Linked DNA regions of Arabidopsis thaliana. The protein of the gene in region 1 interacts with the protein of each later gene in a pairwise test. Each region holds a gene or a part of one and is shown in the gene's direction. Other genes may lie near its edges.

The links.
Region 2: the proteins of SHP2 (region 1) and SEP1 interact in a two-hybrid assay, tested with the Arabidopsis thaliana proteins (one study listed by BioGRID).
Region 3: the proteins of SHP2 (region 1) and NTT interact in binary tests that used the Arabidopsis thaliana proteins (3 or more experiments, as listed by UniProt).

What each region holds. Positions count from the first base shown.
Region 1 is NC_003071.7:17,815,069-17,827,393, forward strand, and holds SHP2 (K-box region and MADS-box transcription factor family protein), read left to right. Parts: upstream 1-5,186; 5' UTR 5,187-5,358; intron 5,359-5,518; 5' UTR 5,519-5,533; coding exon 5,534-5,760; intron 5,761-7,189; exon of another isoform or gene 7,190-7,816; coding exon 7,817-7,898; exon of another isoform or gene 7,899-8,018; coding exon 8,019-8,180; exon of another isoform or gene 8,181-8,268; coding exon 8,269-8,316; exon of another isoform or gene 8,317-8,420; coding exon 8,421-8,462; exon of another isoform or gene 8,463-8,552; coding exon 8,553-8,738; 3' UTR 8,739-8,945; downstream 8,946-12,325. Other genes in the region: PP5.2 (protein phosphatase 5.2), read right to left, coding at 328-399, 475-644, 753-828; HVA22F (HVA22-like protein F), read right to left, coding at 2,392-2,418, 2,518-2,770, 2,862-2,984, 3,062-3,088, 3,187-3,233; PDF1 (protodermal factor 1), read right to left, coding at 11,259-11,601, 11,697-12,147, 12,232-12,325. UniProt on the Arabidopsis thaliana protein: Probable transcription factor. Interacts genetically with TT16/AGL32 in a partially antagonistic manner during flower development. Is essential for the coordination of cell divisions in ovule, seed coat development and endosperm formation.
Region 2 is NC_003075.7:16,368,100-16,377,990, reverse strand, and holds SEP1 (stress enhanced protein 1), read left to right. Parts: upstream 1-4,254; 5' UTR 4,255-4,479; coding exon 4,480-4,525; intron 4,526-4,626; coding exon 4,627-4,737; intron 4,738-4,995; coding exon 4,996-5,174; intron 5,175-5,280; coding exon 5,281-5,385; 3' UTR 5,386-5,658; downstream 5,659-9,891. Other genes in the region: EDA9 (D-3-phosphoglycerate dehydrogenase), read left to right, coding at 1,430-1,985, 2,257-2,744, 2,835-2,930, 3,279-3,950; AT4G34180 (Cyclase family protein), read left to right, coding at 6,608-6,962, 7,042-7,086, 7,172-7,244, 7,346-7,443, 7,543-7,613, 7,806-7,931; AT4G34170 (Galactose oxidase/kelch repeat superfamily protein), read right to left, coding at 8,966-9,649, 9,707-9,891. UniProt on the Arabidopsis thaliana protein: May be involved in non-photochemical quenching, a process that maintains the balance between dissipation and utilization of light energy to minimize generation of oxidizing molecules, thereby protecting the plant against photo-oxidative damage.
Region 3 is NC_003074.8:21,365,045-21,376,334, forward strand, and holds NTT (C2H2-type zinc finger family protein), read left to right. Parts: upstream 1-5,712; 5' UTR 5,713-5,891; coding exon 5,892-6,590; intron 6,591-7,624; coding exon 7,625-8,077; 3' UTR 8,078-8,547; downstream 8,548-11,290. UniProt on the Arabidopsis thaliana protein: Transcriptional regulator required for normal differentiation of the ovary transmitting tract cells and pollen tube growth. In Arabidopsis, the transmitting tract facilitates the transport of pollen tubes to the ovules for fertilization.

The sequences.
Region 1 (12,325 bases):
AATACCATACACGCTAGTCTTGCTTAAAAGATCAAGACAGTCGACCACCAAACCAGATTTTGACAGATAACTATCACTCTATCAAGTTTCCAGGATCTAATCACTTGATCAGACCAAAACAATCAAGTTATGACCATTTGGGTGGGTTCAAGCTATACAAGCCTACAACATTTCATCTATAGTATTTTGACATTTCTCAACTGAGCTGATCCTCACTCAAAAAGTTTAGAGTAAACTAGAAAGAGGACTATCAGATCAGCAGCTAACAAATATAAACGAAAGAGACAACAACTTAAATGGCACAATGCTCGTGCAAGAAACACTAACCTGTTGGAAGTCCTTCAAGGCATCCTTAAATTTTCCCATGGCAAGATACGCAGCACCACGCCTGTAATAGCCCTGTGATTCAGTAGATAATCAGTGAATATGGCTGAATACACGAAGAAACAGGAACATCTTGTCACAGGATGATACCTTAGAGTATCTTGAATCAACTTCAATGGCCTTCGATGCATCCTGTATTGCACTGCCATATTCCTCCAGTTTTGTGTGAGCAAATGCACGATTTGCCCAATACACAGCGTTGTTGCTGTTGAGTTCAATAGCTTTTGTATATAGATCAATAGCACTGGAGTATTTGTGACCTGTAAGCAACAAACAACATTAAGCAAAAAGATAGGAGTACCTCACTAAAAGAGTTGAAATAAACTGATGCCACAAGATTATGTAAAGGTTTATGATAAATTACACACCTTTAAAAGCTTCGTTGGCCTGACTTTTAAACTCCTCTGCCCGTGAAACATCAGAATTCTCATTCTTGGTCTCCATGTTGTCAGGATGAACTTATCTCTTACTGAATTCCTTATTATCCGGTGAAGCCACAACTGATTGACAGAAAATATGTAAAGTTAAGGTTTTATCTCAGTCATGCCCAAATGCACGATAGCAATAATCATAATCACTTGGCCAATTCCTCATCAATAAGTTTTCTACTTAACAGGGAGCTAGTTTAAGAGCTTTAGACATTGAAATTATACTCAACCTAAATAAAGTATAGATTTTTCGTAATACAGCCACTGACTTTAGTCATGCAACGAGATACATAGGAGGAAGAGAAGTCATTCACACAGAAAAACATTCCTACACATTAATGAACTTGAAAAACGCACATAACTAAATCCAGCTAAGAACACGAAACATAACAGATAAAAAAGCATTAAGCGAATAGATAAGAAGCAAAAAGTTGTGAACTTTCAAATTCTGCATCGTTTTCATAACAGCTCAACAACGAATTAGAAGAATAATCAGAATCGTGGCCGTGACAAGTGGAAAAAATATATCACTTACAAACAAATTCTGTGAAAGGATCTATTAAAACCCAGATAAGAGGAAAGCAGAACTGGACAACAACAGAAGGAAGCCAGCGTTTAAGACATGTTTTGTCGGGAAATCAGAGAAACTCATTACTCTAAAGATAGATTCAAACCTGAAAAAAGATTCAATCTTGGCGACAGCGGGAGAGGAAGAGGTTGACGAGGAGTGAGACAGGTTTTTTAAGAGAAGCTTCAAGTGACTAGAAACCCTAGATTAGATTGGTCAAATTAGAGTATACGCTTCAATCTATGAGAAAAGAGGGGTTTTTGGAAATTATTAATGTGTGTTCTTTTCTTTTTTTAAGTTGAACAAAATAAAAAATAAAATTATTAATGTGTTTTTTTTTGATAAATTGGAAATTATTAATTTTGCGCACTCAATTCTTTACCAATTAAATTAAATAAATGGACGAAGAGATATGTAGACTTGTATTATCTTTTTCTGACGTCATATATCAATTTTTTATGTATGGTTTGTGGATAGAGATGGACAAATAATAATAATCACGGATCTCAGAGTATTAAAGTATAGAATATAGATTAATGACCCTAACAAAATTAATCACATTTTTTTTACGTCATATGAATTACATTTTTTTTGTCGTTATATGAATTACATTTAAAAACTTCCAAAGATGTGATTTTATTATTTTACATAATTAAATTAGAATAAAATTAGATTTAGGAAATTAGCAAAACACCAATTGTGATATAGCGCGAGCTTGAATTTTATTTTTATTTTTATGTCAAAAAGAGTGTTGTATTCTCATTTTAATTCGAATCGTGTCCTGATGTTTTGTTTAATCAAATTGAGACCCATCCAAATGTATGTTGTCAAAAAGAGTTGGACTGGCTTCTCTAATAGTATCTTTGGTCATAGAGTACTAGAACACAAATTTGTCACCATAAATCTTTCAAACATATATATCTTTTTCATTATAGTATTGCTCTATACAATCTATGTACATACATGTACAAACCAAAGAGTAATGTTTTTCTTGACTCTTGATCTTCCATCTCAATGCTTTCTAGTTTCTTTTTCAGCCTACATTTGAACACAAATAATGAAGTTAAACTCCCAGAATATATGTATTGGATTATATATACATAACTATATTAAAGATCAACAAGAGAAATCATATACCGCTTTGATTGCTTTCTCAACAGAATCCCATCCAAACCGGTCAACGTAGTCTTGAACCGATTTTCTAGCATCAAGACTCATCATCTGTAAAACTCTTCTTTGTTCGTCTGTATAATTCGTTCCTCCTCCAACATTCATCCCAATTTTGACGTATTGTCTAACAAAATTGGAGTAAATGTAAGCTGCACCACTGAACATTGGTAGCACCAACCACATACAGAACAAAAGCTTCAAGTATGGCCAAAATGGTAGCCTACAATATGCAAAAGAACACCATTTTTTTGTCTTTATAGGCATAAATTTTTGAATTCGTAACAGAATTTAGTGAATAATATTGTAATTACCAGGCAAGGACTCTCCAAACGGATAGCTCGAATATCGTTATTAAAGAGTAAATGATCCAATATGTAAGCCATTGTTGATCATCTAACATTGTTGGACTCTCTATTGCTCGAAATGATGCATACCTAATCATTTATTCAGTTAACTATCAAGTTGCATTTGTAAAAACCAAACATTTAAATTCAGATTTGATATCACTTACAGAGGATAGAGAAGCATGACTCCAGGCCTGCATGCAACAAGAAAAAGGAAGAAAATAATGTTAAAAATTTGACAAATATAGTGTTTATTTTTATTATATGAGACAGAATTTGAATAAAATCCTACCCAACTAGAGCATCAAAACGTTTTGCAATCGCAATAATGAAACCCATTTTCTTTTTGAGTTTTTACTCTTCTTTCAACAGAAACTTTCTCAAACGTCTTTAGCACTGTGACGTTGGATATATACACAAAAGCTTGAAATTTCTTCAAGCAAAAGAATCTTTGTGGGAGTTAAGGCAACAAGCCAGGTAAAGAATCTCCAACGCATTGTTACGTTTTCATGAACCTATTTATTATATGTTCTAAGAAGAAAAAAAATATCTCAAAGTAAACGTTGGAAAATTTCTGATGAAGGGAAATCCAAAGTCTTGGGTTTAGTATCCCTATGAATGGTATTTGGAATATGTTTTCGTCAAAACAAAAGATTCTTTTCTTTTTCACAAGAGTTAGTGATCAATAACTTATGCACTAATTAATGAGATTGGACGTATACACAATTTGATTATGATACTTGAGTAAAAATCACCTGTCCTTTAATTTGGAAATCTCTCTTTCTTACCCATTTATATACTACTTCTTTTCATTAAAATTAAATTTCAATTATCAATCATCGTTCAATTTGATAAAGATTTAACATTTTTTGTCACAGGGCTAGTAAAAGCAATCTTTACATAATTCATCTTTCTTACATATATATATTACCTTTTTCTTCATTAGTATTCTATTTGATTATGATTATTTTGTCATAAAGCTAGTAAATTAAACACTCGATATGAGAATTATATTACTTCACGCTAATTAACTCTTAACACAACAAGAACTAGTGCATATTCAACTTTCAAAGCATATACTATATATTGAGAATATAGACCACGAAAGTCAATCAAAAGACCTACCAGCTCTCATCAAGTTCTTTCTTGAAATGATTTTGCAGAATTTCCAACTTAATTAATTCGACATGAATGTGAAAATGTGTGTTGCTCGTTAAGAAAATTGAATAGAAGTACAATGAAAATGATGAGGAATGGGCAAAACACAAAAGAGTTTCCTTTCGTAACTACAATTAATTAATGCAAATCTGAGAAAGGGTTCATGGATAATGACTACACACATGATTAGTCATTCCCCGTGGGCTCTCTGCTTTCATTTACTTTATTAGTTTCATCTTCTCTAATTATATTGTCGCATATATGATGTAGTTCTTTTGTCTAAATTACGTAATATGATGTAATTAATTATCAAAATAAATATTCAAATTGCCGTTGGACTAACCTAATGTCCAAGATTAAGACTTGAACATAAGAATTTTGGAAAAACTAAACCAGTTATAATATATACTCTTAAATTGCCATTTCTGAACACAACCAAATAATAATATATACTATTTACAGTTTTTTTTAATTGGCAAGAACACTGAAATCTTATTCATTGTCTCGCTTGGTAGTTGACAAGTTATAACACTCATATTCATATAACCCCATTCTAACGTTGACGACGAACACTCATATAAACCACCCAAATTCTTAGCATATTAGCTAAATATTGGTTTAATTGGAAATATTTTTTTTATATATAAAATGCCAGGTAAATATTAACGACATGCAATGTATATAGGAGTAGGGCAATAAAAAGAAAAGGAGAATAAAAAGGGATTACCAAAAAAGGAAAGTTTCCAAAAGGTGATTCTGATGAGAAACAGAGCCCATACCTCTCTTTTTTCCTCTAAACATGAAAGAAAAATTGGATGGTCCTCCTTCAATGCTCTCTCCCCACCCAATCCAAACCCAACTGTCTTCTTTCTTTCTTTTTTCTTCTTTCTAATTTGATATTTTCTACCACTTAATTCCAATCAATTTCAAATTTCAATCTAAATGTATGCATATAGAATTTAATTAAAAGAATTAGGTGTGTGATATTTGAGAAAATGTTAGAAGTAATGGTCCATGTTCTTTCTTTCTTTTTCCTTCTATAACACTTCAGTTTGAAAAAAAACTACCAAACCTTCTGTTTTCTGCAAATGGGTTTTTAAATACTTCCAAAGAAATATTCCTCTAAAAGAAATTATAAACCAAAACAGAAACCAAAAACAAAAAATAAAGTTGAAGCAGCAGTTAAGTGGTACTGAGATAATAAGAATAGTATCTTTAGGCCAATGAACAAATTAACTCTCTCATAATTCATCTTCCCATCCTCACTTCTCTTTCTTTCTGATCATAATTAATCTTGCTAAGCCAGGTATGGTTATTGATGATTTACACTTTTTTTTAAAAGTTTCTTCCTTTTCTCCAATCAAATTATTAGGGTTCTTCAGTTAATCCTTATAAACCATTTCTTTTAATCCAAGGTGTTTGAGTGCAAAAGGATTTGATCTATTTCTCTTGTGTTTATACTTCAGCTAGGGCTTATAGAAATGGAGGGTGGTGCGAGTAATGAAGTAGCAGAGAGCAGCAAGAAGATAGGGAGAGGGAAGATAGAGATAAAGAGGATAGAGAACACTACGAATCGTCAAGTCACTTTCTGCAAACGACGCAATGGTTTACTCAAGAAAGCTTATGAGCTCTCTGTCTTGTGTGACGCTGAGGTTGCTCTTGTCATCTTCTCCACTCGAGGCCGTCTCTACGAGTACGCCAACAACAGGTACACATCTTTTAGCTAGATCTTGATTTTCTTGAATTTTTTTTCTAGAATAAAGTTTCGACTCTTCTGGTGGGTTTTTCAATCTTTATGGTCTCTTTATAGTTTTTTTCCTTAGTTTCTCTGAAGCTCAAATCTCTTTAAAAATCCCCAAAATTAGGGTTTGTTTAAAACTAGGGAACCCTACTTTAACTTCTTTCTCTTAGTAAAAAAGCAGTGAGGGTCTTCTCTGATCATTAATTAGCATCCCCCATACCTTGTTCCAGTCACTTTTTCTCCACAAATCCTTATAACAGTATCTATATATGTATCTATTTATGTCAGTTTGTACAAGACACTTCGATCAATTTGATGACCCATCAAGTTTTATTTCTGCAGATTGATCATTAGGTTTCCATCATAGTAATGAAAAAGTAGGGTTCTTGATAAAATTATAATAATATATATTATTTGGCTATATAAAAAAGCTATGTAGATTCCTTCAAAATTGATTCACTAGGGAGAGACTAGTAGGTGTTTGTCTTCTGACACTTCTCTAATCTTTTGGTGAATCCTTTTGTTAAATCAAGAAAATGAATCAGGGACAAAGCTTATTGTTGAGTCACTTAATTAATCATCCGATCCATCAATCAAGAAAAATAACGAAACAGAAAATTTTGATTTTTGATTGTTATTTTCTCCACTTCAAGTTGGGGACTTGTCATTTCCGTTTTTCTATACGTTTCCAGCTATTAACAGCTCATGTTCATTTCACCATTTTGATTATTTGTCTGCTTTTTAAAGATAAATGTTTTCAAAAATATTGTTTTTATTTGCTTGGCTAGTTAATACTATAATTGAGGTTGATGTATGACTATAATCTATAAGTCAAGTCTCATATCATGGATCTAAGTTAAAACTAGTAAATTTGTAGTTTCAATGTGAACTTTCACAACGACTAAAGAACTGATCTGAAGTTTATAATGGACATGACTAATTTGATTAACAAAAGAGGAATGCATTATGTATGTAGAAACATGTGATATATATATGTTTCTATTATCAAAAGTGTAGTTAACTTTCTTATTTCAAACACCCTCATGCTTTAGTAGTATCTTACTTTTGACATTTCTCAACTTCAGCTTTCCATTATACAACAGCACAATGTAAATTACTTGTATATGAATATGAAAGCATAACGTTATGCAAAGATTTCTAGCTTTTCTTTTTCTGTTTTGCAAAAGATTTACAAATATCATGTTCTTGGTAAAAACATACTTGCCTCAGCCACATATGCATGTAAATGTAATGTTCAAATATTAATTCAGGAAAAACAAATGAAGAAGCAAAATTAGCTTCTAGAGTAGGGAATCTATTGACTTGACCTGAAAATCACTTCTTTTTCTTAAAGCCTAGTAGTGAATTTTTTAATCTAATTAGGCCAAAATATATACTAGCCTAAAATATAATTTGGATTTTGTGTCGTACATAAATTGGGACCAATTCCAATTAACTAAGAGCATATGCAATTCAAATTCTTTTTATTTTCTTCTCCGATTTGCTACTTCTTTCTTTTGTATGTTTTCAAATTAGGATTACACTTTTTTGGGGAAGTACACATTAGGGTCTTCTCGAACTTTGATTATACATATATATATATATATATAACTTTGTGAGATGTCACTGTTAATAGATAATAGGCAATAACAATAATATCCCAAAAAAAGAAGGGCAAACAAATCATATACTATATGGTACTGGTCCATTCACTATTTTGTCGGTTGAATTTAAGGTTTTGGGCGGACAAAACTTTATTTTCAAAACCTTAATATCCGTCTTTCTGTGTGTTTTGTATATCCAGAAGATAAAAATATCAATTTCTTTAACGACTTCATATATATATATTTTTTTCTCTTCTGGTTTTAGTGTTTGAATCCAACAGTTATAGTTTCGTGTGTCTTTGTTTTACTTGTGGTGGTTTAAGTTTGAGATTTTCACCGATTGCATCTATTTACATATATAGCTACCACAAAAAAGATTGCATTTTAAAATCTTTTCCTTTGTGTGAATGTTGATGAAGTGTGAGAGGAACAATAGAAAGGTACAAGAAAGCTTGCTCCGACGCCGTTAACCCTCCGACCATCACCGAAGCTAATACTCAGGTTAGCTTTTAATTAATACACCTAGCTAGCTAGTTCGTTAATTACTTAATTTCTTCTTCTTTTAGTTATCTGACCTTTTTTTCACCTCTTGTAACAATGATGGGATCGAAATTGATGAAGTACTATCAGCAAGAGGCGTCTAAACTCCGGAGACAGATTCGGGACATTCAGAATTTGAACAGACACATTCTTGGTGAATCTCTTGGTTCCTTGAACTTTAAGGAACTCAAGAACCTTGAAAGTAGGCTTGAGAAAGGAATCAGTCGTGTCCGATCCAAGAAGGTACAATCACTAACTCTCCATCAATCTCCTTATCATTGAATATATATCCATCTGATTCTTGCCCGTTATATTTGGTTTTTCTCTCCAGCACGAGATGTTAGTTGCAGAGATTGAATACATGCAAAAAAGGGTAAAAGTAAAACCTATCTTCCTTCACAAGTAACTTACCCCCTACTTTATTAGCAACTTCTCTTTCTGATGATCATCTTTTTTTATTTTCTGTTGTCGCTTGCATTGTAGGAAATCGAGCTGCAAAACGATAACATGTATCTCCGCTCCAAGGTTTTATACATAACTCTTTTTGGCATTTTTGATCATCATTTTTTTCCGGTAGACAATCTCTTGATGTGCAAATTCTAAATATCTCTGCAGATTACTGAAAGAACAGGTCTACAGCAACAAGAATCGAGTGTGATACATCAAGGGACAGTTTACGAGTCGGGTGTTACTTCTTCTCACCAGTCGGGGCAGTATAACCGGAATTATATTGCGGTTAACCTTCTTGAACCGAATCAGAATTCCTCCAACCAAGACCAACCACCTCTGCAACTTGTTTGATTCAGTCTAACATAAGCTTCTTTCCTCAGCCTGAGATCGATCTTATGCATATATATATTCATGTTACACTTACTGTCAAAAAACTTAAAATGCAGATGGTAACGATTTGAGAGGGACCTAATAATTTACATATATCTTGATTATGTAAGTTAAGGCTAAGACAAGAGATCCAAAAATAAAATGGGATTTATTGCTAGTTAGTGTTGCATATTCAAATCAAAATGTGTTGATGTGACGTAAAAAAAGCATATGCAATTTCAACAAGACTATTGAGATGCAGTTTGAGATGCAAAAGCTGCATATGCATAGATAGATCCCAAGTTACATCTAATTAAGATCTTTCTAAATTCTAAATCATGGACATGGAAGATATAAGCGATATATATAGGCCAAACCTTTTTCCCCCTTTTGTTTTCAAACTGCAGAGGATATAGTCTCTTTATCCTTCTAAATCAGCTCAGGATTTTTCACTTTCTAAGGTAATGCATAAATTTACAAGAAAGAGATCGTAGATGGTACCTCAGGTTTACTAAGACAAGGCAACTGAAATGAAAACCCTTGTGAATTTGAGAGTCTTGCTAAAGTTCAGTGGATCAGGATCTTAGTCCCAGCGTCATGTCATAGAGGGACAAGAAGATGTGTAAGATCTTCAACAGCAATAAATCCTGCTTGTAGAAGTTCCTGTATTAACACTCTGCAGTATATGAGACTGTATCAAGAAGGAAGCTTGATGTGAGAAATTGATAGTCTCTACATCCACAGCTTTACCAGTACCTAAAACTATGAAAGGACATCATGCTGCATCATAAGATGGAACTATTAGTAGAACTTTGTGTCATAATGTTTTTGGATTTTAGAACCCTTGACCTTTAATCATTCTCATTCTGCGTCGAAAACCTGCAACAACAGAAATGGCAGAAGATATTTGAAAACAAATGGAGCTAAGAGATGTACCATTTTCTAATGAATTCAACGAGACTTTTCTTCCTCAATTCCATTGTCAGCAGCTCCTCCCAAGCTTTCTGCAAGACTTAATACATTCATGCATTTCTCACCATGATTTATAGTATAACGGCCAAAACCTGTCATAGTGTCTTGACCTAACTTTTACTGCAAGAGAGCAACCAAACAAGCTACATATCCTATCAGTTTGATTTAGTGAAAACTCTCATAGCTAAATTTTGTTTACTGCTACATGTGTTCTGGCATCTGTCTTAATCTGAGGTGACTGTCTCCAAAAAATAAGTTTAGTTTCCTTAACATAGAATGTGATTAGGTGAAAACAGAACACTTTCAATTCAAAATGATAAGAAACCACTTAGTGAGCTATGTTCCGAAAATTCCACATGCTGATGAACAAATCAAGCCTAGAATATTCAATCGATGCATCCAACTTAGCAAGGAAAAAAAGTTGAAATTCTTGAAGAAAAATAACTGCAGAGCTAGAACTTGAGAAAATCTACTTAATGCTATCATCACAAACCAAATAAATCATCATCCTCTGTTCACACATTGATCATGACAAGCATATATCACAATTTCAAAAAGTTTACTCGTTCAAATTACTTCAAAGTTTCATTACTTCTGAAAAAGCTCTCCATGGCTAAAACAGATTCAGTGGATCAAAGTTTGATTACTTCTGGATTAGTATTATTTTTCGTATGGATTTTGTTGACATTATTAAAAAGTTAGAATCAGTCATAAGATCATAAAGTAGGAAAAAATAACAGCCTTGGGTGAAGATAAACTTGGATAGAGATATTTCTCAACCTCCAAAGATGTCGTGTTTCCATAACCATGACACACCAACTTAATATCATGAATGCAATTCCAGACACCAATAGAGAGAGTCATTAAAGATATTTTCATTGGTGGGTAGAACTTGGGGTTTGAAACTTGAATGCATGGAGACCATCTTGCAATATTTACTCCACAGAGTTTATTACACTAACACCACACTTTTGATATGTACTCCTTCCTTCTTTAATGCTATAATGTTTGCTCCTTCTCTCTCTTTCTCCTGCCCTTGTCGTTTTTGGAGTTTAATCCAGTTGTTTTCACTTTATAGACACACCTCTTAGGCATGATTTTAAAAATGCTCATGAACAATTTAATGCAACAGTTATGACAATGTGTTGGTCTGTGAGCATGTTAATCTAGATTTGGACTTTGACTTCTCTGTACCTTGGTCTATACATTAAATTATCTGTTATCTCTTTCAATATTGATGTTTTATGATCCTATCTATAGTTTCTTGTTCGGGTTAAACTTGCATATGATTCATTTCTTTGGACATTCTTGAACAGTGATTGAGAAACAGAGGAACTACTAAATCTTATTTAAGATCAAGAAATTTTTTGAAACAACAACATTAAATAAAAGGAAGTATCCATCATAAATATTACTAGAGACTATAGGACACTTCAAATTCTACTGAGCAACACAAATGACAAGATAATTAATTAAGATTGTTTTTGATATAAACCAACAAACAAACTGAGAAATGAAACTCTCTTAACTTCAGACTCTAGGCTTTAGACGACCTTCATTAGCAAGCTTGAAGGTATGGGCCTGCTTTGTGGCTGCCTTGTTTGAGGAAAGTCCTGCAACAAAGTGGTCTCTAACTTGAGGGGTTGTGAAAGGGAACTTATGGTTGACCATGGAGTTTAACCAAGAAGCTGTGCCTTCACGGTAGAGAGCACCAATGGGATCAGAGCGGGTGTTGGAAAGTGCCTGAAGAAGGTTCATGTGAGGATCAAACCCTGGAATGCTACTGGGAATACTGACTGTACCAAAAGCTCCTCCAACAGTTCCCCACCATCCAAGCAAGCCCCATATCAATGTAGGGTGGTTTCTCCAGTAACTACACAAAAGATAAACAAAACACATGAAGTGTGATAATTGATATCATCATCTGTCTTATGATGTTTGTATAAGAGCGAATGTTTTGACACTTACTCGCATGTTCCAGTGATTGGTGGGAAAGGAGCAGGAATGAAAGGAGTTCCAGGAGTGCCTGGGTCAATGATAGGAGTTGGTGGGCTTCCTCCAATGATGGGTGTGCCTGGATCAACAATGGGTGATGGTGGAGTCACAACAACCGGAGTTCTTGGTGGAGGAGATGAGTAATATCCACCAGAAGGAGGGTGTGATGGCGTTGGGTGCGAAGGAGTGGAAGGGTGTGAAGGCGTGGAAGGGTGGGAAGGTGGACTTCCACAGTTACAAGGAGGGGTGTGTGGAGTTGGCGTGTGTGATGGAGTGTGTGGAGTTGGAGTGTGTGATGGAGTGGAAGGAGTTGGAGTATGTGATGGAGGTGAAGGGTGAGAAGGAGTTGAAGGAGAAGGGTCGTAAGGTGGACTTCCACAGTTAGAAGAAGGAGGCGTGTGTGATGGAGGAGTTCCATGTGAGCCTGCATGAGTTAAGTGAAAGAAGCATAGTGAAGATTCTTATTACATCAAGCGAATAAAAAAAGTTACAATGTTTGGTTTCTTACCAGAGGGAGGAGATAAGTAGTATGTTTTGGCATCCTCAAACCTTACGGAAGCAACAGAAGCAAAGAGCTGCTGTGAGAGTAAAGCAGCAAAGAG
Region 2 (9,891 bases), on another chromosome or scaffold:
ATATTTATATTTAAAAATAAGTTTAGTAAAATAATAAATGTCAATGGCATGCCATAGTAAATAAGTGCTAAGTGAAGATTTATTTGTTAAAGTGGCTGCAAAAATGTATATATAGATAGTTATTGTTTCTAAAAAAAAAAGCAATTAAAAAAATAACGAAATACTTATTTTCCTTAACTGAAAGAAATAAGTAATTTTATGTTGCTGGGCCTTTATATGAGTTTTATTATGCTGTTGTAACTTTACCATGGTTGGGTTAAAATGAAAGAATGAAAAAAAAAAAAAAAAAGTAAATTAATTGTCGACTCATTTTTCATAAAAGGTAATTTCAGTTGAGTAAACCAAAATAAACCAAAAGATATACGAAGATTCAACAGTACACCCATCCACGCGCGGCTGCGTTGAATACTATACGGGGGGTGTCAACAGGTCGACCTACCAAAAACAATGCATCTAAGCAGTTGCAAAGACACACTAAGCAAATCTTTCACGTGCAATAAATTATACTTACGTCACAGCCATCAGTATATCCTTTCAAATATTCCTCCTCACAATTGATGTATTTACATGTGTGTAAGTTGACACAAACAAATCACTTGCCCTGAAAACTAAAACTCTCGAGTTTTTTCAAAAAGAAAGTCCAATTCAATTTAAATTTGAAGTCTTCAATTTGTTTTCAAATACTAAAAAGTGCGGCTCTCCCTCTAGTGTATGGCCTCGTTTACTAGTAGTGCGGGGACCTTTTAATCTTTTATTACTACTTGTTGCATTCAAGCATGAAGCATGGACAGACACTCCCTTAGAAAGAAAAACAAAATTATGAAATTTCCTGCTTCATTTTGAAATTTCTGCGGAAACTTATGATTTGGATATATTATAAACATAGTAACTCCTCTACATTAAAAAAAAACATTACAAGTCTTCTTTTCATTTGGGACATAAATGTTAAAATCTTTTATAGATACTGTATTTAAGTCAATGATCTGATTATCTGACAGACATCGTGAGACTCCTCATGCCATCAAAATAAGGCTTCTTCAAGATCTCTATTTGCATTGTCAAAAATCTTCAAAGCTGTAAATAATTTTCGAGTAATCTTTTGTTCTCGGTCAGAGAGATATGTAATAAATAAAGTTTACTTTTCCTCAAAGTTGTACATTTTTTTTTATTTTTTGTTGGTTTGGCAATTTTTCCGGTAAACTATGCAAATTCTATTCGCCGAAACATTTTGCAGATCACTAAACCAAACTGAATCACACGCGCGAGCCAAATGCGCGTGAGATTTCATCACCTTCGTCAAAATACTATCACATCACACCAAACCCCTGAGCCGACTATAAAACCTTTTAGATCTCTCCCTCGTGTTATAACTCCGCCACCAACAATATTTTTCTCTACTCAATTCACTCACACTCCAAAAGCGGTAGCAATGTCAGCCACCGCCGCCGCCTCCTCCTCGATCGCCGTTGCCACCAACTCTCTCAGGAACGTGACTCTGTCTTCCAGATCGCCCCTTCCATCAGCCATCTCCGTGGCTTTCCCTTCCCGTGGACGCAATACTCTTCAGCGACGCCTCGTTCTCGTTTCCTGCAGTACTGGAGACGGATCTAAGCCTACGATTCTCGTGGCGGAGAAGCTCGGTGACGCTGGTATTAAGCTTTTGGAGGATGTCGCGAATGTCGACTGTTCGTATAACATGACTCCTGAGGAGCTCAACATTAAGATCTCGCTCTGTGACGCCTTGATCGTGAGGAGTGGGACTAAGGTTGGCCGTGAGGTGTTCGAATCGTCTCACGGACGGCTCAAGGTTGTTGGTCGCGCTGGTGTTGGGATCGACAACGTGGATCTGAGTGCAGCGACGGAGTTTGGGTGTTTGGTTGTCAACGCTCCGACGGCGAACACGATCGCTGCCGCTGAGCACGGAATCGCTCTTATGGCCGCCATGGCTAGGAACGTAGCTCAAGCTGATGCGTCTGTTAAGGCTGGTTAGTTCCTTTTTGATTCATTGCCTCAATTTCATACTTTCCATATGTTGCGAAATATTTATTGATTATGTTCTTTCTATACCTGTGATTGATGGCTTGTTGTGTTTATTAATTTGTATCATGAGCTTTCCTTTTCCTGTACTGTTGTTGACGATGGTGAAATTTAGGATCGTTACATTTGCTGATTCTTTTGAAATTGAGTTTTGATCATTCTTGTCTGTTATCTAGCTGACTTGTGGATCTTGGTTTTAATAATACCATTGTAATGCAGGAGAGTGGAAGAGGAACAAGTATGTAGGTGTTTCACTTGTGGGAAAGACCCTTGCAGTGTTGGGATTCGGGAAAGTTGGGACGGAAGTTGCTCGTCGTGCTAAGGGTCTTGGTATGCGTGTCATTGCTCATGATCCCTATGCCCCAGCAGACCGTGCACACGCCATTGGTGTTGACTTAGTGAGCTTTGATGAAGCCCTTGCCACCGCGGATTTCATTTCTCTTCATATGCCTCTTACGCCAACAACATCGAAGATACTAAACGACGAAACCTTTGCCAAAATGAAGAAGGGAGTTCGAATTGTTAATGTTGCTCGTGGAGGTGTCATAGACGAAGATGCGTTAGTGAGAGCTCTGGATGCTGGTATTGTTGCGCAGGCTGCACTTGATGTTTTCACCAAAGAGCCTCCGGCTAAAGATAGCAAGCTCGTGCAGCACGAGAGGGTCACTGTGACACCTCATCTTGGAGCTAGTACCATGGAGGCTCAGGTGTGCAATTCATTTTACAGTTCAGGTGATAATTAATCATGAAATTTCTGTTTGGCTTCTGTTATATAGTTGGTGTTTTGGCTTTGACAGGAAGGAGTTGCCATCGAAATTGCTGAAGCTGTTGTTGGAGCTCTGAATGGAGAGCTTGCTGCTACTGCAGTCAATGCACCTATGGTTTCTGCTGAGGTGAGCACTCGCTTGTGCTAGTAAATACACACATATTGGTGTTGTTTCAAAGAGGCAAACTTATCAGCCTATTTACTGTAGCTAGCCTGGGAATGAATGTAGCAAATTATATTTGTTCCGAGTTGGTTAGAAAGAAGTTAGTGAGCGGCAAAATTGTTGAAGTGAGGGTGGGTTTTCTAGGGATTTGTTTTAAGAGCCTCATTAATCAAGTTTCTGTGATTTCTGAATTGGATTTTAGACTAGCAAGGTTTATAGCTTTGTTCTTATCAGATTCAAGTTGGAAGATTTCAATTGTTAAGACTATCCATGTTTGTTATTTGCTCAAGCTTACATGCATTCTATCTGCAGGTTCTGACCGAGCTGAAACCATATGTGGTGCTAGCCGAGAAACTAGGAAGACTGGCAGTGCAACTGGTGGCCGGAGGAAGCGGTGTGAAAAACGCGAAAATCACATACGCCTCAGCAAGAGCCACTGATGATCTTGACACCAGACTTCTCCGAGCCATGATCACCAAGGGAATCATCGAGCCAATCTCTGACGTATATGTCAATTTGGTCAACGCTGATTTCACAGCCAAGCAGAGAGGTCTCAGACTCTCAGAGGAACGTGTGCTTTTGGATGGTTCACCAGAGAGCCCATTGGAGACAATAACTGTTCAGCTAAGCAATGTGGAGTCCAAATTCGCCAGTTCCCTGTCTGAATCAGGAGAGGTTAAAGTGGAAGGAAAGGTTAAAGACGGAGTCCCGCATTTGACAAAGGTTGGATCTTTTGAGGTCGATGTAACTCTTGAAGGTAGTATCATACTGTGCAGGCAGGTGGATCAACCTGGTATGATCGGGACTGTCGGAAGCATCCTTGGAGAGTCTAATGTCAATGTTAACTTCATGAGCGTTGGGAGAATTGCACCGAGGAAGCAAGCGATTATGGCGATTGGAGTAGATGACATACCAAGCAAAGAGACACTGAAGAAGATTGGGGAAATTCCAGCGGTTGAGGAGTTCGTTTTCCTCAAGCTCTAGTTTGGTGTGTTGTTGATTCTTGAATCTTAAATCTCACCGGTGAAGATTTGATGTTGTTTGTTGGTTTAGGCAATAATGTTATTTTGGCTTTCATACAGTTTTGGTAACGTTGAGAGTAGTGTCTCTTTGATGTTTCAACTTTATGGTTTCTATTACTTGAGTGCTTCTTTCTTCTCTGAATATTTATTTCCTGAATATTAGTGACCACAAATTGGTTTATAACCCAATTGAACGAACCGATGTAACTATCGTAGAGAATCTGTTAATTAAGCCAATCCAATTTTTCAAAATTGGTTTGGTTTGGTTCAGATTAGGTTCGGTTTGCTCTAAGAGATGCAGTTGTTTGTGAAACGCCACCGTTTTGGAAAACTGTGTAGCTCGAAAAGATACGAACTTAATGAGTGGAGAGAAAACACGTGTCCTCAGCTTGAACAGATAATTCTGCGACTCTTGAGAAAGGAAGACGAAGGAAGGAGAATAGTAGAAGAAGAAGAAAGGGAGAGTCTTGTGATATCTACGTAGAAGGAAGATGGCCTTATCTCAAGTGTCTGCGTCTCTCGCCTTTTCTCTTCCCAGTACTCTTTCTTTCTCTCTTCGCTACCCTTCTTCTTCCTCTAGTTGTACAATTGTCTCTATAATGTATGTATCTGACTAGTTTCGGATTTCATGTTTCCAGATTCTGGTGCCCTAAAGCTAGCCACAATCACAAACCCAACTTCTACATGTCGGGTTCATGTTCCGCAACTTGCTGGAATCCGATCCACCTTCGCTTCTGGTTCTCCTCTCTGTACGTCTTCCTTGCCCCTGAGAAAATTCTTCAATTCTCTACATTTTGAAGTTTAGTTTGAAATTGGGCTCAAATTTTGATATTTCTGATTACTGAATTGTTCATATATAGTTTGGTTATCTGAAATATGGGGCAACAATATTTATCATAAAGTTTTCTAATTTTGCTTTCTGCATTGTCTTTGTTAGCTGAGTAAATCCATGGAAAAATTGAAACTTTGTTTCTTTCGTTTTTGTATGTTGTGTGTGTCCGTTTCAGTGCCATTGAAGTTGAGTATGACCCGTAGAGGAGGAAACAGAGCAGCATCAGTTTCCATAAGAAGTGAGCAAAGTACAGAAGGAAGCAGTGGTTTGGATATATGGCTTGGTCGTGGCGCCATGGTTGGTTTTGCAGTTGCCATTACTGTTGAGATTTCCACTGGAAAAGGACTTCTTGAGGTAATCAAACATCATAACTGATATTGTTGCTTATATAAAAGTTGAAAGTTTGAGAAATGTAAGAGAAGTAGAATAACTTAAGATTTGATTTGTCTTCTTATTTCAGAATTTTGGAGTAGCAAGTCCATTGCCTACGGTTGCTTTAGCTGTTACAGCATTGGTTGGTGTTCTAGCTGCGGTTTTCATCTTCCAATCTTCTTCTAAAAACTGATCGACAAGAATCTTGTTTTGTGATGCTGCCGAGGATCATTTTCTTGTATTAAGAATCTTGTATTATATATCACTGTAACTTCTACATCCATCAGTGGAGAATCTTACATTCTTAGTTTTTTTTGGCAACATACATGATCTATACATGTCTTTTGGCCAAATCTTATTTTTATATTTTTAATACATGATCTATAACATGTATTAAGTTTGAAAACATAACAAAATTTTTGTAACAAAAATAACCAAAATATTATTTGAAAAAGAAATATCCAAAGTTTTAATAGTAATAATACAAAAATAGAAGTTTGAAAACATTTTTTAATAAATAAAAAAGTGTTAAAAATTTATCACAACGCTAACAAACAAATTCACCTAACCGTTTACTTTTAGAATCAGAAATAAACAACAAAAATAAACTTTCAGAAAGTTGCAGTTTCACATATGTTACAAACATCATCAGATTCTTTGAAACAAAACAGTAACCAAGAAGTTTCTTATGCATAGCTTTGTTCAAAATCAATACTTTGGAGTTAGTCAATTAAATTCATATGCAAATCTCTGACCTTTTGCTTTTGTAAGCTAAATGCATTGAAAAAAGGGAGAGGCTCTGGATCAGTGTGCTCATGGTGGGCCGGCCCATCACTATGGGCTGTCTAAAACAAAAACAATTTTGGAAGGCAAAAGGTATAATAACCCCGTCCCTGTATGTTGGGCTAGGCCTGTCCAGTATCCACCACCACTAACTCAATTCCCCCATTATTACAAATTTACAATCTCTCCACCAATTGGCCAACAATGGAGTATATATTAACTATAAAGCAAATCATAAAGCTTCTATAGTAACATCAAGCTATGAATATTTTTATACGTTCTGCAAGAAACGTGACATCAACATTTTGTGATTAAACCGATTCTTAATTTGTCCCTTTCTATCATCAAGTTAAAAACGTGACATCAACACTTTGATTAAGAGAATCAAGAAACGTGACGTCAATATTTTGATGAAGCTTGTGAAATGTGGACAGCTATTTTATCCTCGATGATATTCAGATTGTTTTAATAAAAATCATTTCAGCTATTTTTAGTCAATATAGACGGTTTTGCCAAACTCAAAAGTCAAAAGTCAAAGGTCAAAGGAGTCCATTATATAAACCATAGCTTAATCATTTGATTACTAAACACTAGTATAAAAAATTGAACCCGTTAACCGGCGACCCGAAACAATGACCCGGTCCGTCAGTTTCCCTCTCTTCCTCTTCGCCGTTGTACTCTCCCTCTCTTCTTCTCTCCTCGCCGACGATCCCAAACCAATCCGCCGTGAGGTCTACGAAGGAGGTAAGATATACGACATCAGCCATCGTTACACGCCGGAGATTCCAGCTTGGGAATCTTCGGAAGGATTGGGAAAGACGTTCCTGCGATTAGCCGCGAGTATGAAGAATGGATCATTCGCTAACGTATCGGAGATGAAACTATCTGTTCACTCTGGAACTCACGTGGATGCTCCAGGTCACTTTTGGGATAATTATTACGATGCTGGTTTTGATACTGATTCGCTTGATCTCCAAGTCCTAAATGGTAATTTTTGAATCTGGTGTTTATTGATTTTAGTTGGGTTAGTGATAAAGTTTTGAAATTGGGGTTTTTGTGTATATAGGTCCTGCTTTGTTGGTTGATGTTCCGAGAGATAAGAACATTACTGGTGAGTTGTTGAATTTGTAACGAAAATTTAAAGTTAGTATCTTTTGTCTAATGATTTGTGTTTGGGTTGGATTATTATTTATTAGCTGAGGTAATGGAATCACTTCATATACAAAGAGGAGTTCGTCGTGTGCTCTTTAGAACATCCAACACCGACAAGTAAGAGTCTCAGTATTGAGAGTGTGTGTTATTACCTTAATCTTGGTAAAAACAACTAGAGAGCATAAGCTTACTCACTCTGTGTTTGATATATATATTAGGCGGCTTATGTTTAAGAAAGAGTTTGATTCAAGCTTTGCTGGGTTCATGACCGATGGGGCTAAATGGTTGGTTGAGAATACAGACATCAAACTTATTGGTAAGAGATGGACAATTTCGGTTTCTTAGCTTTTCATGATCGATAGCTTGTATTACACATTTTTTTCTGAAACCGGTTATTCTGCATTGTGGAATCCAGGGCTTGATTATCTTTCATTTGCTGCTTTTGAGGAATCACCTGCAACACACAGGGTTATACTTAAAGGACGGGTTAGTATATCTTTCTCTATAAAAAAATATTCAAGTACCTAAACATTTCCAATTCTCCTGTGATGTTTGGATGTCAAACCATGGGATATGATTGAATATAGCGGTATTCACTGGACAAGAAAGTGAGAGAGATAGGTAGGCTTAAAAGGGAGATGAACTACGTCTTAACACGTGAGATACACATGTTTTCAGGATATAATCCCAGTGGAAGCGCTGAAGCTGGATGGTGTGGAGGTAGGAACATACTCGCTTCATTGCTTACCGCTGAGATTAGTTGGAGCGGAAGGAGCACCGACAAGATGCATTCTCATCAAGTGATTCAGTTCTTCTTCTTCTTCTTCTGTGTAAGTTGTTCAGTATACCAAACTGATAATGAATAATATGCTTCTTACTTTACAAGATCTCAGAACCCATGAAGCAGATGTGATGATTCAGTTGTAAAAGGAAGCATACCTTTATAAACGTGTGAATGTATTATGTATGACAGTATATTTGTAATTCTGAAGGACATGATAATAAACCTAGACTGAAACAAACGAATAATATAACCACTTGCAGTGAATGCATGAATCTGATTAGACGTGCGACCAAAAGTAAATCAAAGGTAATCTCATCTCCATATTATCTGAAACTCTCACTTCACACAACAAAGTAACTGCTGGCCCAAAAGTTTCTGTCTTGCAACAATAGCATTCTTCCTCAAGCTCTCTTTATTGAATAAGTAAGTACAAAAAAACAACCCAGAAATTATTTAAACATACAATAGGCAATAGCAGATTCTCCAGAACAAGCAATAAACAGATGGTCTTGGAATTTGTAGAATCGAAAGAAAAGAAGCATGCAGGAGTTGAAGCACGTTTTCTTTTTGGACAGGGGAAAAAGGAAACACAATCTGTGTGTTTTGGTTGTATTCCATTATATTGAAAGAGACATGCAAGTCCCATCTAGCTTGCAAAAAGCTAGCGTACTTAGCACCAAGGAGAAGCCTCTGAATGCACAAGAGAGCGTTCTCGTGGTTCATCAGTTGAATGATAATAGAAGTGAACCAGCTCTGCTTACCACTAAAATTAGATTGTTAGATGTTGCCAAACGAATTGCAAAAGAAAAATCATAACCAAACAATTCTCCAAGGTCTCGGGTTCGACAAGAATATCAAAAAGGAAAAATCAAAATAAAACTAAATTTGGGTGACTTTGATTCAGTTCACACGTTCATGTCACCAAACCGTACTAGTAAGCGCATGCACTAAACCCATTAAAGCGTTTGGCCCATTGGACATAAACACATTGTCAAACCACTCTACCGTTCCCCAAATTTCTCCATTTTGGCGTTTTTTTATCGCAATTTCCGCATCACCAAATCATTTTTTTCTCATCAACATCCACATACTTCTCCCACAAAATCACCATTTTTTCACCATAATCCGCCAATTTAACGTGGCCATTACAAGGCAAGGAAGGCAGTCCTTTTAAAGGTGTCCATACTCTTTCTTTGGGGTCATACCAACGGATTTTGTGGACAAAACAACTGTATAACACATTCTCTATCACACAATAAGAAGATCCTGGCCAACCCCAACCATTCGCCGACATGTCTGCTGCACTCCATCTACCTTCATGTAGCTTGTAAGTCACATCCTTTTTCTCAGACCAAACATAGACGGTTCCTTCATACCTTACGCTTTCGTACGCAGAGCCTCCAAATATCTCCTCGCTAGGGATCTGTAAAAACTCCCAAGTTTGAGTTTTCGTATCAAAAACCTCCATCCAATTCGTTGAATCTAGATTATCACAGCCTCCCATTACATATATTTTCCCATCAAGGGTGCAAACTGATGGGAACATGCGGGGCACCCGCATGCTTGGAGCTTCACGCCACGTGTGAGAACGAGAGTCCATGACCATAACGCTAGACAAAGTATTACTCTTTATTCCTCCGCCAATGGCATCGATATTAGGACCAACCACTGCAATACCCGCAGAGGTAGAATTGGGAGATAAAATTTGGACCAAAATCTTTCTGGAACTATATTGTCTCTGGCCAAGAATGAACCAATGTAGTTGTTTAGAATCAGTACGGAGTCGTAAGCACACGTAGAAACACCTCTCGGTGCGGCCTAAGAGGGTTCGGGTTTGGTAAAGCTCTACTGAAGCAAGGAGAGAGTGAAATCTCTTACATACTAATGAGAGAGTTGGATGGTTTGATCTTGAGACGCGCGCTAAGCAGTTTAATATTAAATCATCATGAAGCATCAGCATTGTTTTAACCGGTAGCTCTT
Region 3 (11,290 bases), on another chromosome or scaffold:
TTTTTCAGTTATCTTTTTTTTTTCTCTGTCATGGTAAATCAAAAGAATCTCTCTATACCAAATTTTATACATTTCTCTATCTGTTGGGACTAGAATATTTCCTTTACAATCTTTTTCAATTGGAAATAAAATTAGAGAGAACAAACTAGTCGTTTCTTTGGAAAGGTTGATGCTCAAGTCACTACTAGCTTAACCTTTATTAATCTATTCTATTATAAAAAATTTATTAACTTATTTTATTATAAATTCCAAAATAAATTAACTAGACTACAAGATCATTCTGAAGTAAAAGTTTGTATATATCGGTTTTGCATAGTAAACTCTTATATATTTTGGTGTCTTAAAAAGGTGTTGATAACCGACAAAAACAACATAAAACAAGTGAAAAATATACAAAATTTCTACTTCAATCATTGGAGTAGTTAATTGTGTTTAGATTTAGTTATTCAGCAATTCTTTATTTTTGTTAATGCATATAGATCATTGGAACAATTCTTTCTTGCTTTCTTGAATTACACTAATTTTCTCGTATGTGTACCCACCAAACAAGAAAAGGTTGGTCTAAAGATTTTATTTAAACTTTATTTGAATGCTGCACTCATTTTTTCGTCCTTTTATTAAATATTCACCCTTTTGCTTTAAAGGGAAAAAGAAAGTTGAAATTTGATAACATTGCTGCAATGTTTTTAGTTATAGAAATACGATTATATTAAATAATATGATAGTTTAAATGGTAAAATGCGCTCCTATCTATCATAACAAATGATGAGAATAATTGAAAAAAATGATGAGAATTGCCATGAGTGTTGTGTGTTTGCGATCGTGTATATGTATATAAGCATAATTATAACAAAAGAGTAGGTGATATACACATTAGGTGAAGCCTAGAGTTTGTGGTACACTTCCTTTAAATTTGAATTGTCCAAAAAATTAGTAGGTCACTATTTCTCTTCCACAATGTCCCCACCAACATATTATATATATATATATATATATATATATATATATATATATTTGTTTTCATATACTAATTGGCGCAGTTGTCTTAGAGACTGTCTTTCTGCTGCAAAACATAAAAACGGATATGGAACGAAATTGAACAAACCTGGTTAATAAGAAAGCAGAACAAACGAAACAAGTAAGGTAAAAAGAATGATTCAAAAATTTCTAACTAACGTTTCAGCTTAACTTTTCAAATTTTATATAATTAATTTAATCCATAACTAACTAACACATTTATTTCATTATACCAAAAATAAATCATCACACACTAAACTAGAGACGCATGACCGTGCCACATCCTTCCTTCATTTGTCAACAGAATATTAAGTTATTAACAGTTGGGTCCCAAGTTCGACACTCATAAAACAATATATGTAATTTGAGGAAGATGGAAAAACTTCATGCAACACTGTTTCTGTTTTTTTGTTCATATGAAAGTTATGGTCAGTTTTCGCCAATGCAGATTTTCACTATATATAAGATATTTTCTTTTTCTTTTTTGTGCTCTACAAAAATGGAAAGAGCAATACACAAGAAACAATGAGAAAACTATATGACAAGCTAATACAAGTCTTTTTTTTTTGAACAAAGCTAATACAAGTCTAATATCCCAAAAATTCTTATAAGATTCTTATATGTAAGTTGATATCATCATCTGATCTAATCGTCATAGCTTCACAGCAGATCCAAGATTAACGTTTCACAACTCAACAAAATAATTCTTTTTAATTACTGTACGTATACAGCAATATGTAATTTAAAAAAATAAAAATAATAAATGACCGTATGTATTTATTGCAGTTCTACCAGTTGAACTCAGCAAACAGAATCACTATTTAAACCTTTAGTCGTAGTATCGATAAAACTGTTTCATATAAGAAACATCACATGCAATATAAATGTTCTATATAGAATTAATGATGTCATGACCCGACACATAAATTTTAAATTTTATCATAATATACATAAAAAGGTCACATCCAAAATAAAACCTAAGCACAAAGAGGGACATAGAAGAACCATATGGTGATGGCTTCTCTCTCCTGCTCTATGGGTATATATAACACACATACAAATAGTCACAATGTGTTGCTTGTGAGGGCCCAGCCTCTTGTATAAGGCCGAAGTCTTATTCCGTTGAAATTCTACTCAATATGAGGTTTACCTACTAAGACCCATATTATATCAAATCCAAAGAATGTTTCTCAAGTTAATATCCTAAGAATATTATCCATTATTATTATATATCCTCCTAACATTAGGTATTTTCCATCATCATATCTTGAAAATTTCTACAATTTTTTGTTCTTTTACTTTGATAAAGATACCATCCATTTGTTTCAACAATTGTTGAGCTACGTAAATAACACATTTTAGAAGTTTCACCATGAAAAACAAGTTCTACAGCGGAATTATTCAACTACCATAATATCAAAATTTAATTCGGGCATATTCAACTCCAGTACAGAATTTATACACCATGCATCTACACAGATAAATGCTGCAATCGATCAAGTTAAGATGTGAATGTGTTTTGCATAATTAACTGATTGGTGGATTAAAGATGAGGTCGAAATAATCCAATGTAGATGTTACTGGTGAAAATAGTACTCATGTTTATAACCTACATATATTGCCAAAAACAACAACATTACAATTGCAACAGTGAACATGAAATGTTCTTTGTGAACATGTGGTTCGTTTTGTGCATAAATAGTGTCATGATGGATATATAAAACCAAATTATGTCATCACAAAAAATACACTAGTATTGTGACAATAAATTAAGATCATGATTTATTTTTATTTTTCTTAAAGAAATTTAAGATCATGATGTTTATTAATATTCGGAACTTAAATGTATATATGCGTAATCATCACAACTTTCATATACTAATTAAAATTGATTAATGCCAACTCACATATATATATGCGAATAATTTGAATGAGTTTAATGAGAATCAGATTTTGAACTACGATATGTGGTAATGTAGGCGATACGTAATATGATGGGTCCATATATTAAAACCGAATCTAGCACATATATTATATCATCGCCTGATTACTTTGCATCATAACAAACATGGATAACTTACTCAGCGAGCAAAAAGTTATCTTGGAGAGAAACTGAAATTTTGTTTACAGTAGACTTTGGGTCACCGTCAGAAAGAAATGATTTATGTTTTCACATATATTATCAATTATTCGTTATTATGGACGGAAAGCCTATAATTTCCTAGAGAGACCTTTTCTAGCTAAAGAAAATATATTTTCAAATCGATAGAATTGCATTTCGTAACTAAAAAAAAAACACAATTCAGCATAACTAAAAGGGTTGTGTTTTTTTCTTTTTCTTTTTCACCGATTATATATAGTAAATAGCTTTTCAGCAAAAATTAAATGTGTTCCGCATTTTTATTCGACCGATATTTCATTCTTCCTTTGTTCATAGATTTGAATATACATATATATCTATATATATATATATATATTATTGTGCCATAACAAAGAAAGAATAGATAATTGTTTGTTTGTGTATAATTTAGAATTATAGATATTGGGTAAAGTGGAGAAGGAAGAAAAGGAACAGTGAGGCAGGATCTGCGGTGGGGATTTGGACATTCAATGATCTTACCGTTTGAGGGAAAGCCGACCATTGATGCGCACACCAATGCAATTGCTTCCCTTTTTTCTCATATAAATATTAAAACTCATAAAATAAATAAACAATTAACATAAGCAAAACTACATAATTTGGTTCATCGAATTAATAATTCATGTCAATAATAGAAAATCAAAACCCCCCAAAACTTTTACGAATACATACATTCCAGTTTTCTCTCGGGTCCTCGTACTTGATTACCAAATTTATTAATTATTGAATTCCCATATGTGTGTTTTCAATTTATTTATTTTTGTTTATTTTATAGTTAAAATTTTATGAGGAAGAAATCCATTATATGTGAATCTATATCCTAAAATGAATCTAACCTAGCATAAATATGGGATAATACTTCAAAACTACTCACAAACTTTGAAATATTGTCCTTCTAAACCTAGAAAGATATTATTTATCTAACCTTCTTCTTGTCTATATATTTTTGAAACTAGGTCATAGGAGTAGATTTTACTGATATTTATTTCTTTTCTAAACTACAAACACAAAAATTGTAAAATCAGAATTGTGTCCTAATTTATGCTATTTTTTTTTAATTAGCTCATGAGTCGGGAATGACGCCACAATTTTATTTAATTAATTTGTCCATCGGTATTTAGACAGTTACATTATTTTTCAAATTTACCCTGTTTCAAAACTATTTTTAAGTCTCAAACTGATAAGATATGGCTTCTTTTTTTCTTTTTTTGAGGAAAGGCTTTTAAGATAAGAAAATTTGTTTGGGAATTGGGATGAGAGCCATCTCCAAAAAGCAGTGACATTATCTTTGTATGATGTATCTGAACCTCATATGCTTTATGTATTTTTTTATTTTATTTTTTTGTCAAATATGTTCCTTTTTATATATTAATCCTGTTTCACTCATAGTGAATATAAATAAATAAATTCCAATTTTTCCGTGGAGCCAATATAGGTCGAACTCGAATAGCTTTTTGTTTTGTCATATTGGCTATAAGATTATTGTCTTTGGTATTTTAGCGTATGTATGTATACTCTTCAAGCGAGCCCTAATCCTCAATGTCTATTATTATCATCTTTATTACATTTTGACCTACTTGTATGAAATGGCATCCACTAATGCTTTTAATTAAGTACATAATCCACAGATGTGGAATATTTAAGGACTTTTATGATTTAAATATGTTAATACAAGTTCCTGTGCTATTAAGCCTTACGTAATCTGATAATGTTAATCAAATTAGATAATACATATAATTAGAGCCCCTTTTGTAGATTTACTTTAATTCGTTTAATTAGTAAAACAATCACCATGAAAAAATCGTCATATTCAAGCATAGTTTTACTCTCTCTTTTTCAACGACCATAGTCTGACAATAAACTAAGTGAATTCAGACTTGAACATACGAACAACAATTATTCACATCATTCAATGGTTTTGCATTCTTTTTCCTTATAAGATCCAGGTATAAGAGATACACAAATTGAATAAGGATCCAAAGTTAGATCTTTGTACGGTTTTTAAAAATACAATGAAGTAATATGTTATATAGTTCTGATGTGCAGGTTCAGACGCTGTGTTTACTTACCATGATCATACGTAGAAACTCTCAGTCACACGAATTATGAGACTATGATGTCGTCCGAAAATTAAGACATCTTATAATAGTAAGAAAATTAAAGAACGTGATTTGTAGTTTATAATTATAACAACTTATAAGATTTTGAAAACCTTTTAAATTGATTAAAAAATTATTTTAATTCTATATTCTTAACAAAAACAAATCACCAATAAAAAAAAAAAATCTACTATCTGAATTTCTAATGCTTACTGCCTAATCTATAAATGTTATCTTCAAAACATCGTAAACAGTCTTAACCGCACTGGTTATTTCTTAACCATCGTTTTATTTTTTTTATAAAGAATAAGGACCTACATATCTGAATGAAATAATTACTTTGCGTAGACTAATACACATTCGTATTTGACCTGCTTCTTTAGTTCCTTTTTTTTTTTTTTTTCGTTAAAGTCAGTTTTTAGTTTTCAGTCCATAATTAATAATCTTTCTCTCTCTTTTTCTCTTGCACCCAAAGAAAATCTCTCTTTGCAACCCAAAAAAAAAGCTCTCTCTCTCTCCCATCCCATCACAATCTCTCCATCTCCATCTTCATCTCCCATCTATGTCTCTTGTATAAAGATAATCCCACAAGTCTTAAAACTATTCCTTTCTCTTCCTCTCTCTCTCTCTTCACCATGACTGATCCTTATTCCAATTTCTTCACAGACTGGTTCAAGTCTAATCCTTTTCACCATTACCCTAATTCCTCCACTAACCCCTCTCCTCATCCTCTTCCTCCTGTTACTCCTCCCTCTTCCTTCTTCTTCTTCCCTCAATCCGGAGACCTCCGCCGTCCACCGCCGCCACCAACTCCTCCTCCTTCTCCTCCTCTCCGAGAAGCCCTCCCTCTCCTCAGCCTCAGCCCCGCCAACAAACAACAAGACCACCATCACAACCATGACCACCTTATTCAAGAACCACCTTCAACCTCCATGGATGTCGACTACGATCATCACCATCAAGATGATCATCATAACCTCGATGACGATGACCATGACGTCACCGTTGCTCTTCACATAGGCCTTCCAAGCCCTAGTGCTCAAGAGATGGCCTCTTTGCTCATGATGTCTTCTTCTTCCTCTTCCTCGAGGACCACTCATCATCACGAGGACATGAATCACAAGAAAGACCTCGACCATGAGTACAGCCACGGAGCTGTCGGAGGAGGAGAAGATGACGATGAAGATTCAGTCGGCGGAGACGGCGGCTGTAGAATCAGCAGACTCAACAAGGGTCAATATTGGATCCCTACACCTTCTCAGATTCTCATTGGCCCTACTCAGTTCTCATGTCCTGTTTGCTTCAAAACCTTCAACAGATACAATAACATGCAGGTTCTTAATTAATCACACTCTCATTAATCTAAATCTTTAACATATCTCAATACGCATTACTTTTTGAAGAATTTCGTTTTCTTTTCCATGTAAATCGACTTCTTTTTTCCCTTCATTATTCCGAGTAAACCCAAAAGGTAAAAACCAAAGAAAATAGGTTTGCTCACTAAATTTCCTCGAAAAAAAACAAAAACGTTTTCACCTTAAATCGGTAAATAAATATATATAAATACATACTGTTTTCAAATCAATCAGAGGACGTGTCTTTGCTCACTGATGCATGAATAAATCATTGCATTACAAAGAACCGAGAGACTTGAGACTGTGAAGTCTGAGACTGAGATTTAACAAGACAGTAAATGTTCTTTATGTCTTTAGTACTTTCAGAGTCTCTGTGGTTTGCTGCTTTTCACTACAATATTGGCAAGTGTGTCACCCTTTTTTTGTATGAGAGTCTTCAAATGTCTAACGTGTAAAATAACAGTACTGATACGATTTCACAGACCCATATTTCAATTAATATACATAGATACATATAAGGCTTCATTTGTTTGCTACATATATGAGCTTGATAAGATTTTGTACTGAACATAAACTAAGCATCTTTTTCTTTTTAAGTTTTGCTTAGTTAATTTGTTAACCTAAGCATGCATTGACATATCTTATTATTATTATTATTATTATTATTATATATATATATATATTTTTTTTTTTTATGAAATTCGTTTCTATAATTTTGATTACATTTCAGCATTTGTTTGACATCTTATTGTCTTTTTACATATGCTTCAAGGTTGATCTGCTAATTAAGTTGCGTCTGCTGGTTAGAATAATCATCATAACATTGATAATCTATGTATGCTGGCTAGAGTAATCATTACATCTTATAGAAGACACATGTTATTAAAACTGCTAATGCACATATCATAAGCTAAAGTTTCAAGACTCACACTTTTAGAACTTTTCGAACATATACTATAAGTTATCCAAACCCTACATGATGATCATATATACATGCATGATTTTGTTTACAGATGCATATGTGGGGACATGGATCACAATACAGAAAAGGACCTGAATCTCTAAGGGGAACACAACCAACAGGAATGCTAAGGCTTCCGTGCTATTGCTGCGCCCCAGGCTGTCGCAACAACATTGACCATCCAAGGGCAAAGCCTCTCAAAGACTTCAGAACCCTTCAAACACATTACAAGAGAAAACATGGGATCAAACCTTTCATGTGTAGGAAATGTGGAAAGGCTTTCGCAGTCCGAGGGGACTGGAGAACACATGAGAAGAATTGTGGCAAACTTTGGTATTGCATATGTGGATCTGATTTCAAGCACAAGAGATCTCTCAAAGATCACATCAAGGCTTTTGGGAATGGTCATGGAGCCTACGGAATTGATGGGTTTGATGAAGAAGATGAGCCTGCCTCTGAGGTAGAACAATTAGACAATGATCATGAGTCAATGCAGTCTAAATAGCTTATATATATTACTATAAGTACTAAGTAATTCGGTATATATATTAATTATAAGAAACCTAAATCTATGGACCAAGTTTTGATGGAGGTAGGGCTTTTCAAACTAAAAGCTATATCATCTAATTGATCATAGGAAAAAAATGAATCAAGAGCACTTGGAAAATTTTAAATTGTATCTTTAGCTTCCTAGTTAAATTTATTGCAAGACAATGTAGCAGTCTAACCAATGAGGTTCCCAACGGTTTATTTCTATTTGTATATTATTTTGTCATTAGCTTCACCTTTCGTTAATTCGAAGGACATAACTTATAAATGTTTAAATTATGTTTGTTAGGATACTAAAAGACAAGAAAAGTAGATGCTATACATTCATGCATAAGAATTTTCTCTTAATATACCATATTCTAGATCAAAATGAATATTTCCAAATTTCAATTTGAGTAATAATAGATTCTAGTTTTTTTTTTATTCCAACAGATATTTGTTTTCTGGTGGAGTTATCGTTGGTTTTATTTTATAAGAATACTTGTGATACTTAATTGTCTAGTGACATCATGGAAAATAATGAGAGAATGGACACTAGAGAATATTGCTACGTACTCAAGTGCAGAACTTTATTAGGAAGATCGAATACCAAATTATACATAATGTGATGATGATACGCATCCCATATGTTTTGAGAATATAACAATACATAAATAATTATAGATGTGTTTTGGTTTATATTTTATCAACGCATGTAAAATTAAATTAAAATAATTCAAATCTTTAGTACATAATTTACCAAAAAATATCATTCAACTGAACAATTCTTGATTCTCACGAACTCATCCGAATGTGAGAAAACAAATCAAAATGCCGATGCTAGTTATTGTCATATCTACCAATTCATAGCAATTAGTTTAAAAGCTACTCTCGTCCGTTTCTCTTTCTTTTTTTAGTTTATGTATATGTTGCTTGATCTAATACATAATCAACAGTTGAAACACTTCAGTTTTTGTTTGTATCGTTTGCGTAATACCTTGTGTTTTTGAATGGTTACAAGTACTTGAAATGAAACGTTTAAAGTATATTGCGTTTTTTTTCTTTTCAAAACATCTGTGTTAATTTTTATATTTTTTCTTAATTATTTTATGGGGTGTAATACTCAAATTTTAAATATAAAAGGCAATTATAATATATATTATACTGTTTCTTCAATAAAATGTTTTGTTGGTTTCGTTCTCATGAAAAAATTGTCCTATATATATGTAGTGATGTTCATACTAATTAACTTTCCGATTAATAAGCACCAAATGAATATTGCATTTGTTAACCTGATGAAGCCTGTCAAAAAGATTTCTTTATTTTTACTATATATTATATATATAAGAAAACAAAATTACCGGACTACAAGTGATTGTCTTGTTATTGTAGTTACAGTTTTTGTTTTGTGTCAGTTAGTTGGTAATGAAGAATTCAAGATCCAATTTGGATATGATTGTATACTAAGATTACAGTTAAAGAGAGGCTTTTCTTCCTGCAAAGAGCTTTTCAATATGCTCCCTTTTTGCTATCTTTTTTTCCCCTCTTCTCCTTTTTGTTAGTGGAGAGACAAATTTGCTCGTTGAAGGAACATTACACCTCTTGAACTAAATAAGATTCACTTTCATTTTATTTTTTAATCTTAGAATTCGAAACCAAAATTATCTCTCGATTTAGATATTGTCATATTGACCTAATTTTCGTTCACGTATAAAGGTATGCATAAACAGTGAATATTCCTTCGGTTCCTATATCTGCATACGTATGCATGCAGTCATGTATATACACGTGTATGTATGTACATGAAGATGATGATAAATGGGTGAAGAAGCACAAACTAATGTGAAGGAGGGTGATAAAAAAACAAAAGAGAAGAGAGTGGAGCCCAAAGGGTGTGATGGGTTGTTTGGGAGCAAAGATTGATGGTATCAACAGTTATTTTTTTTTTGCTCTCTATCTTTCTCTCTCACTCACTGTTATTTGATTTGACATCTCATTTTTCCTTTGACCATCTCTCTCTCTCTCTACACACACACTCTCACACAAATGACACAACTTTCATCATCTCCTCCAATCAAAACCCACATGCTTGCCTCTTTTGTATTCATTTCATATTCAAGTTTACTCATCTTATTTCTTAAATGTATTTGAACCTAATCTAAAATGTTAGATTAGTTGTGTCCCTAACAGTTAGTTACCTTATTTTAATACATACAGTAATTGGAGGGATATACATAACATTAATGTGCAAAAAAAAATTCTGTTATAGATGGATATACATACAATAATGTATGGGTTGTTTTAACATTGGTCACAAGCTGAAACTAAACAGTAGAAAATCTGGAAAAGTTATGAACGCACATCTTTAAATTATGTAGGATTCAGACAACATTTATTGCCAATCAATATCCTACCCCTTTGTTGGGAGAAATAGACCATCCCTATTCCCTACCTCTCTTCTTTCCTTTGACCCCTCTCATTTTCCCAACACTCTCCAGAAATTTCTACCGATCGATAAATATGTACATATATATTGGTATATGGTATTAAGTGGTTCCTATCGAATGTTAGATCATCTTTTATATGCGGTAAAATGTAAGTCATGCGTTGACAGATAACATATAAGCAGTAAAAGTTTTAGCTAGTCATTCAAATCGACATTTTCTATAATACGGTAGAAAACCTTCTAGATTAACTTTTGTCACTTTATATTTTTGGAATCTATGTATAGCTTTATGATTAAACTATTTAAAAAGTCCCAACAGTTTATATCACATTGGAAAGTGATAAAGAAGCAAGAGAAATAGTTATGTTTAATATAATTATATAAATGAATGATATAAGTTAACATGCTAAAACTTTGATTTTTTTTAATTTACAACTTAGTTATGAACACTATTATTTTTTGGTCAAATGAATTCTAATTTGCTTAGACATATATATATCCAGTTAAAGGTCTACATGCACATGTTTATATATTAAGATAGATAGATCACACAAAGAAACATAAAAATAAATGGAAAATTATTGATATAAAATGGAGTACTAGTTAAAAGTTTTCGAATCTCGAAACTGAATTGTTCTCTGTGAGTGTGCAAAAGACATTTTCAAAATCCGAGCAACATATATTTGGATTTTCCTACTGTTGCCGGAAAGAATCCGAACATTGGACTTCACTTTGTTCCGTAAC